2 linked regions of the Arabidopsis thaliana genome follow. The protein of the gene in region 2 interacts with the protein of the main gene of each other region in a pairwise test. Each region holds a gene or a part of one and is shown on either strand. Other genes may lie near its edges. The genes, in order: BZIP9 and bZIP44.

Region 1 (4,150 bases), on a different chromosome or scaffold from region 2:
GATGATCATCAACATGATATTCATAATATGTTTAGCAACCCGAGGATCCATGATGCTTTCATGGGTGCTGGAGACTACAGTGGCTTAGTAGTGCCTGATGGAAAGTTTGGGCTTGGTTTTAAGCGCGCCATTTCTCAAGATGGGTCTCTGGTTGGCTTTGGACATTCAGGGTTAGGAGGATCAACAGGCTTCTGTGACATCAACAACAGATTTTCCATTGCAGTAACACTGAACAAGATGTCTATGGGAGGTGTAACGGCTAATATTGTGAAGCTTGTTTGCTCGGAATTAAATATCCCATTGCCTAAGGACTTCGCAACTGATATAGGTGCAGATTCGCAGATGGGTACGCCTCTAATCAACTGAGGTTGGTTTTCGACGTAAGTTTTGTCTGCTCATGTTACAACATGCATAGCTGTCGCCTTAAATAGCTAATAGAAATTGCTGGAAAGTAAAGTGTAATGGATCAGTGTTTTTGTTTGTTTGTCTGTATACTTACTTAAGCGAACACATTTAAGCAATTTCCTTGGAGAATGTAATTTATTGGCCTATACATGCTTCAGTTTCCAGATTACAATCTGCAGGATTTGGAGCAATTAAGTATATGTTGACGAAACTTGAGTTTATTTAACGAACATGCTGCTTTCATTATATGTTTCTAGTTCTATAGCGAAACACATACAGGAAATTCGCTGAGTGATCATTACATGTTCTGAAGAAAGAGAGTCATGGCCAGATGTCTGAGACGCAGCTAACAGCTTCACTGGATACATTACCAAGTCCAGGGCTTGAGTTCTGTCCAGAAAGTGTCATTCCAGGGAACAAAGATTGGTCACTGTGGACTGTAATGGCGGGCGAGGTATTTCCCGTGTAGTGCAGACTGCTGATGGAGTGTGATGGTGGACTTAGATGAGTTTGTAGAAGTTGATTCAAGCTGCTAGTGAGTGACCCTCTCGCTACCAAATCTTCTGCTAGTTTCACCTATATAGAATTTACTTAACTTAGCACATTCCGGTTATTACTTTCCCAAATTGAAAAGAGCAAGTGATAGATGATACCTTGACTCTCAGAGTTTCAACATCTGATTTGAGAACTCTGTTATTTGTTCCAGCGCTACGAAACTGTTGTGTTGCGTCTATGAGCTGCTTGTACAGTGTTGAGTTATCGCCTTTCAAAGAATCAACCTTGAAGAAAACACAAGGTCACCATTAAAACATTACTCTCTGATACAAATCATCCAACAAGCTATTTGTTAACCTTACCTGAGTCTCAAGATCTACCAAGTACTCTTGCTTCCTTCTCCTCGACCTCTTTGCTGATTCCCTGTTTGAGTTCATCCTGAATTCACATCACAGAAAAAGATTAAGAAGAATTGGTGATTCTCTATCTCAGTGTTTTACATCTAACTTTTTTATTGGTACCTAACATACCTTCTAATACGTTTCAGATCATTGGGATCATTAGTCATTTCAGATTGCCCTGCTTCTGTCTCGGCATCTTCGTCATCAGAGTTAACATGAGAAGATCCACTTGTGGTTCTCCTAACTCCTCCTCTTACCTCAGGTTTATTGGCTGACACTGGACTATCAGCTGACAGATTCTCTTTGTAGATAAGAGCCACACAAGTAGTGAACATTAATATCAACTGCAACAACACTTATTACTTACATGGAGTCAAATCAAAGAGACATGCACATACCGCAGATTGAGGACTGTGCATCGCGAAAAGGTCCAGCCGGAAACAATCCCTCAGACCACAAAAGACTATCTCTTAACTCACAAGTGTAATCCTACAACCAAAAGAAACTAGACTCTTAATTACTACAATATCTCTGGATCTTGATATAGACACAAGCAACAATGATACGAATAAGAGAGACAACAAAAGGACTAACCCGGTTCATGAGGTCGAAACAAGGGTCTAGAGGGCTTGTAGTGAGATACTCTTGTAGAGCCAGCTCAGAAGCACTTCTCTTCATACCAATGTCTTTAGCTGTGTGATTATCCATTTTCTTTGAATGTGAACACACAAGAAAGAAGAGAATTGGTTGGAAAAGAGAGGAGAGGGGAAGAGTAAGTGGTGATAGACATCTTCTTTATATAAGTCTCTCTTCTTTACTAAAGTTGTGAAAAAGCTTCTTAATGGCTAAGCAAAATTGAATTTGCATTGTCAATGCAACGTCCTCATTTCCAACTTTTTTTTTCTTTAATGACAACAATAACAAAAGAGAATAGAAAAGCAAAGCCACAGAGATGTATATTAGGCTCTGTAGTATTGGTGAATATTATGGTACCAATTATATGCTAATGATAACCTTTAATCCCTTAACTAGGGAGACTATCTAAGATAGCTGGAGACTCTTTCAATATAAATCATATCTGAATTCAAACATTAAGTTGTTTGTCAGCTCATTAATATGTTGGAGCTTTTGATTTGAAAATGAATGTTATAGGCATATATATAAGCAGCTTATATTCATAAAAGGATCCTAAAATATTTCGAAATAAGCTTTTAAATATTTGAAAATATTTAGATAATAATATTGTCACTCATGTACATTTGTATTCTTGGCACATGTCAAGAACCTTACACTTACATAAATTACTCTACTACATAACCTGTTTGAATTCGAATTTGAAGTACTTAACGACTAATTTAAGATTAATATACAAGGGGCATAGTCCAATGATGAAACTACAAAAACATTGAAAATGAATAAATTAACCTTTTACGGTAAATGTTTTACCGAATATATAATTTCATAAAACACTAAAAACTAATCTTCATAAATAATTGATAATATTTGAAGGAAAAATATTGATAATATTGTTTCAGTTTTTTACACCTTTGTATCATGTAGTAAAAATCTTTAAAATATTTATTATCATTCATTACTACTACAACACCAAAAAGAAAAACTTAAGAATTTTCCGGTCACACGAACAACACAAAATGCTTCGTCCTTTGTTTACTCTTACTTTTCGCCATATGCTTTTGGAAAGCAGATCTAAAAGACATTTCTTTCCTCCAGCACCAGAAATACTTTTTATTTCATCAACTTTTGTATGCGTAAACCAACTTTTCTTTCTTTTGATCTGCACTTCCTTTAAAAAGTTAAAATATTTCACAACAAAACAATAAAAAGAAACAAACTAGGTAATGTGTCTTTAAACAAACAAAAGTTGTTTAGATCCGAAAATAGAATCCAAAAGCATTTTAAAATTATTATTTCTCACTAACTAGAACTTTCGAACCTATAGTGGACTACAATGTTTACAATCTACCGACTACAGTACAATTCAGTAACCATAGTAACTAGTACAATTAAAATTCAATCCTTAGTGATGTTGAAAATTTTCATGTAATTTAGATGATGATTGATATACGTTTTTTGTAAGAAACGAATTTCTACTTGAGGCACATGCTAAATTTGTAAGTTAAAATACAGAAAATATGAATGAAAATTAGTTTATGAACACAAAAGTAATTTTTGTTTTCTTTTAGCAAAAAAAGAAGAAGTAATTTTTCTGTTTCTACAAACTCTACTTGTAATCTCCAAACGAGGTTTTGCAAAGAAAAAGAAAAGAAGATGAAAGGAATTATAAACAAAGGAAAAGAGAAACAAAAAAAAGACGTTGTTCTATGTCTAGTGATCACTAGAGTAGTTGGGGTGATTTAGTTTTCAGAAATTACTTTTCAAATCATATAACTGTGTTAGTATATTTTTTGGTCATGGGTAGATAAAAGTATTATAGAACAAACAAAAATTCTCATTTAAAATTCATGACAAAAACAAGAATTCTCGTGACCAAATGAATTTTATCAAAGTTTATGTGACCAAATAAAAAACACTAGAATCTTTAGTTTCAGTTTTGAGGGACCAATTGAATCTTTATTTGTTTTTTTTTTTTAAAAATTATTTTTGATACTATAATATTTAGTGTAGTAATTATATTTAGAATCTTTCTGGTTACAGATTTAAAATATTATTCCAGTAAAAGATCATGTATGACGTGAACGAGATTGAAGCTAGAGGTTAAAGATCACAAATAATAAAAGTTCATAAAAGCAAGGCCATAAGTCATAACAAGAGAAAATCTCCAAGTGCATTTATTAACAATCCGGAGGTTATGATATCATCGTCATGTA
Region 2 (3,971 bases):
TATGTTATGAAAATTTCAGATCCAAATGGCACAACACATAATAATGAACTGGTTTAGCAATGATATGATTTCCCTTAACCACTTCATGAAATATTAAGTGAATTTGTGAATGATCGGGATTTGAGATCAAAGAATTGGCATTCAGATATTTAAAGGATCAAAGAAACGAAATGATTGAGAATAACGAGATCATATGGCCTCGTACGTAAGAGCATCTTCATCGACAAAAGTGGTAGAGAATATCTCAAAAAATAAATAAATTAGTATTTTAATTAAATTAATATATTTTAATTAGTTTAAAGTAAATAAACCATTAGTTGAATGACAACTCTCAATAAATGCTAAGAATCGTCTCTTTTGCCAGAAACGGTTCGCCACTTTTCTTTCTTTCTCTCTTGTTTTTTTTCTTTTTAATTATTATTTATTTGATGAGTATCTCAATCAGATACTTCGATGGAGATGGTATAAAATTCTTAAAAAAGAAAAAAACTCGAGTGACCCATGATAACAACTCATTTTGATGTAAGTACCAAAATGCATAATTATTTTATCACATCGGGAAAATATAGTCTCTAACACAATAATCACAACACACCATTTCTATATAGTATTTTAAATGGACCACCGCCATCTACAAAAACCGTCCACGAGCTTTCACATTATTTTCATTTATTTCACTAATAGCCAAAATTTCATCTTTCTAATAAGAGCAACAATAACTCCCAAATAAGGAAACAGAAAACTCTAAGAAAATGACAAAATATTATTTCTTCACTTTTAATATATAGAAAGAAAAGATCTTAAAATATTTGTACCAAACTCACATCACCATCTCCATGATATCACACATTTCTTACACTGTCTATCATTACAATCAGTTTTAAACACTAATTAACCATCTTATAAAATAAAGAAACAAAGCATCATCACATAATTTATAAGAAAAATTACAGTTTTACCCCTGCTGCGATGATTAGTCTCACTCACGATGATAATGATGTGAAGTTTTCTAACAGTTGAAAACATCACCAGCAGTAGAAGCAGAAGCCATGATTGGTTGATTATAAAACCCTAGATTCATAGGATTCATCACGCCGTCGAATAATCCACCGTCGAATAATCCCTGACCGGTCTCCATACCGAATCCTGAAGAAGAAGATTCGACGAAATCAACGATCTCGTTAAGAGATTGGAGACGGTGGTTAAGTTCAAGAACCTGAGCTCTGAGAATGTCGTTCTCCGCCTCGATAGTGACGTAGTGCTGCGTCGTGACGGCGATTCCGGCGACGATCTGAGCGTTTTCTTTACGTAGATGAGTCACCTGAGCAGTGAGATCATCCAAATGCTTCTGCTTCCTCATCCTCGACCTCCTCGCAGATTCTCTGTTCGACTGTTTCCTCTTTCTCTTCCGCTCGTCGATTAGATCACGTTGCCGGAGATCAGATTCTGAACCGGAGTTAGCTAAACCAGTGGTTGAAACCGACGAGCAATTTCCACTTGTGGAAGATCCCATTTCAGTTTTATTATTCATATTAAAACACACAGAGAAAATTAAGTACTATGATTAAGACGCAGGACCCAAAGTTTATTATGTAAAAAGATTATAGTATATAGTTTTAATATATTATTATGGTTATAGAATATATAATAATAAAGGGCTAAAGGAGAGCTGATTTATGAGAAAACATAGAACCAGTAGAGAAAGACGACGGAGAAAGATTGAACAAGATGGGTCCTGCGTCTAAGAGACGAGTCTATAGTTAAACCAGATCTAAGGATTTCACTAATCACCGGAGACATGAATGTTTGAACATCAAGATCCACAAGAGTTTTGCCACATCAAATATTTATCAAACGCAAACTGATTACTAGTGTTTTTTTCTAGAGAAAACTGAAAAGAGAGAAAATATAAAAAGGTAGAAGAAAACGAGGAAGACAAAATAAAAACGCTAAAGAAGAGAGAGTGATTGATTCGAGAGCGAAGGGGAAGAGGTGAATTAAGGATTTGTGAGGGGATTTTATAGAGTTAGCAAAAAGGGTTTAGAGCATACTAGATTTAATAAGAAAATAAAGAGAGTATAAAGTGAATATCAGAAAGAAGGTGTTGAGAGATGAAGCATGTGAAGTGGGATTTTCCGAAACAGTCAAGTTACAGCTGTTTTGCAATATTTTATTTATATATTTATGTGTATGGGTTTAATTGTAAATTAATGATTCTGTATAATTAACCAATAACTATTTTTAGACATTTTTAATATGGAAAAGGAAAGAATCTTCGGTATTGGGTATCCTATTTTGTGAAAAGTTTTGATTTTTAAAATCTTCAAATTTTATTCTCTGATGAAAACAACGCGTTTAATTAATTTTGGTCAAATGATGGCTTTCAACAATATTACAGTAACACTGATAATAATAGTTTTGTATTAATGCTAACTTTTACTGCTAAAGAATCTTAAAGATAATAATAATAAGAATAATTGAAACTTTTGTCGTTGGTTCTCGACTTCTTTTTAATACATCAAAATCACCGCCCAAAGTACCAGAATTAACCGTTGAGCAACGGACACCTGGAGCATGAGACAAATCATGAATGAGGGTAGAGGTGGTATTTTCGTTATTTAATTTCTTATACATATATCTTTTTGTCAATAATTCAATCAATTTCGCTGTCCAAAAAAATAATATATATATTTAGGATAATAAATTAATAGTTTAGAAAACTATCAACTAACCAGCCGTTGAATTTATCGCCGTATGAAGCATCAAAATTAGAACTATTATTATCTTTACAATATTTCTATAACGTTTTGGAGTCCACTATAAAATATCAAGTTACATATCGAAAAGAAAAGACAAAAAGAAAAAACAATAAACTTTAAACGAGTAAATTACAGTACGGTAAAAAACTACTATTTGACAACAAAAAGAAGAACATATATACATTATCTAAACATTAAGGGTGTCAAAAACTTTAACTCATTGAACTTCATGTGACCGACGTGTTGTGGTACGTATAGTTACATAACATTGGATTGTAGAATCCAAGACGTAAATTCGTGTCAATTTATAAAATAATTTTATTGTGTGTAACATATTACATGTGGACCATGACTACTTAATCATTTGGTTTTGGTGCTTTAACTGAAATGGTTTGTGAGAAACTCTTTACCAAATTTTTTTGTTCATCCTCGAGCTCGTAATTAATCAAACATTTCGGCAAAACTTTGATATCTATAAATCTCATAAAAAGATTGAAATAAGAATAATACGTACTCATCTACAGCTCTATAACTTACAATAATATTATATACTAAATTTTGTAAAACACACATATATATATAGCTTAATTAATTGAATAGGAAAATTATGTAAGATGGACCGTCATAGTACGGACATCTCACGTGCAATTGCAATGCAAAGAGTGCGTGCTCTGTGCGCATGTGGACCCATGTCAAACATCGCAGTTGAGATGTAAGATCGACACGTGTCATTTTATTATTGAAAATGGATTTTTAAAAAGAAAAAATGTTGGTTCAATCGAATAAGTGAAGTCTAACGTTAATTAGGTATTTCCAATTAATGAATGTGTCCCTGCAAACATTGCAACAGGTAAGAAAAAGTAATTTGTACTAATTTGTCTTCTTCACACAATGCTTATTTGGCCTTATTTTTTTAAAAAATCTTTCATTTTAAATGAAAAATTAATTTTATTCGATACAGAAACATAATTTTCTTTACAAAATCGAAGATTTTTCAGATACCCAAGGTTTCATCGAACTAATTAAGATATCTCAAATATATTTATCATAACGCAAAATCAATTGAATAAATAAATAAAAATGCGACATGTATTGGAAAGGCAAAAGATCCCACTATAAATTAATGTCTAAAATACAAATGGTTACCACTTACCATAAAAATAATAATCGTCACCTCAATAATTTTTCATTCAACAAAAAGATTGTTGTTAT

Evidence for each region.
Region 1: the proteins of bZIP44 (region 2) and BZIP9 interact in binary tests that used the Arabidopsis thaliana proteins (3 or more experiments, as listed by UniProt).

Annotation. Positions count from the first base shown.
Region 1 is NC_003076.8:8,513,118-8,517,267, reverse strand, and holds BZIP9 (basic leucine zipper 9), read right to left. Parts: upstream 2,069-4,150; 5' UTR 2,010-2,068; coding exon 1,896-2,009; intron 1,791-1,895; coding exon 1,700-1,790; intron 1,603-1,699; coding exon 1,431-1,602; intron 1,339-1,430; coding exon 1,263-1,338; intron 1,185-1,262; coding exon 1,059-1,184; intron 982-1,058; coding exon 727-981; 3' UTR 599-726; downstream 1-598. Other genes in the region: AT5G24810 (ABC1 family protein), read left to right, coding at 1-366. UniProt on the Arabidopsis thaliana protein: Transcription factor.
Region 2 is NC_003070.9:28,289,784-28,293,754, reverse strand, and holds bZIP44 (basic leucine-zipper 44), read right to left. Parts: upstream 2,058-3,971; 5' UTR 1,532-2,057; coding exon 1,010-1,531; 3' UTR 747-1,009; downstream 1-746. UniProt on the Arabidopsis thaliana protein: Transcription factor that binds to the DNA G-box motif 5'-CACGTG-3' of MAN7 promoter. Involved in the positive regulation of seed germination through MAN7 gene activation.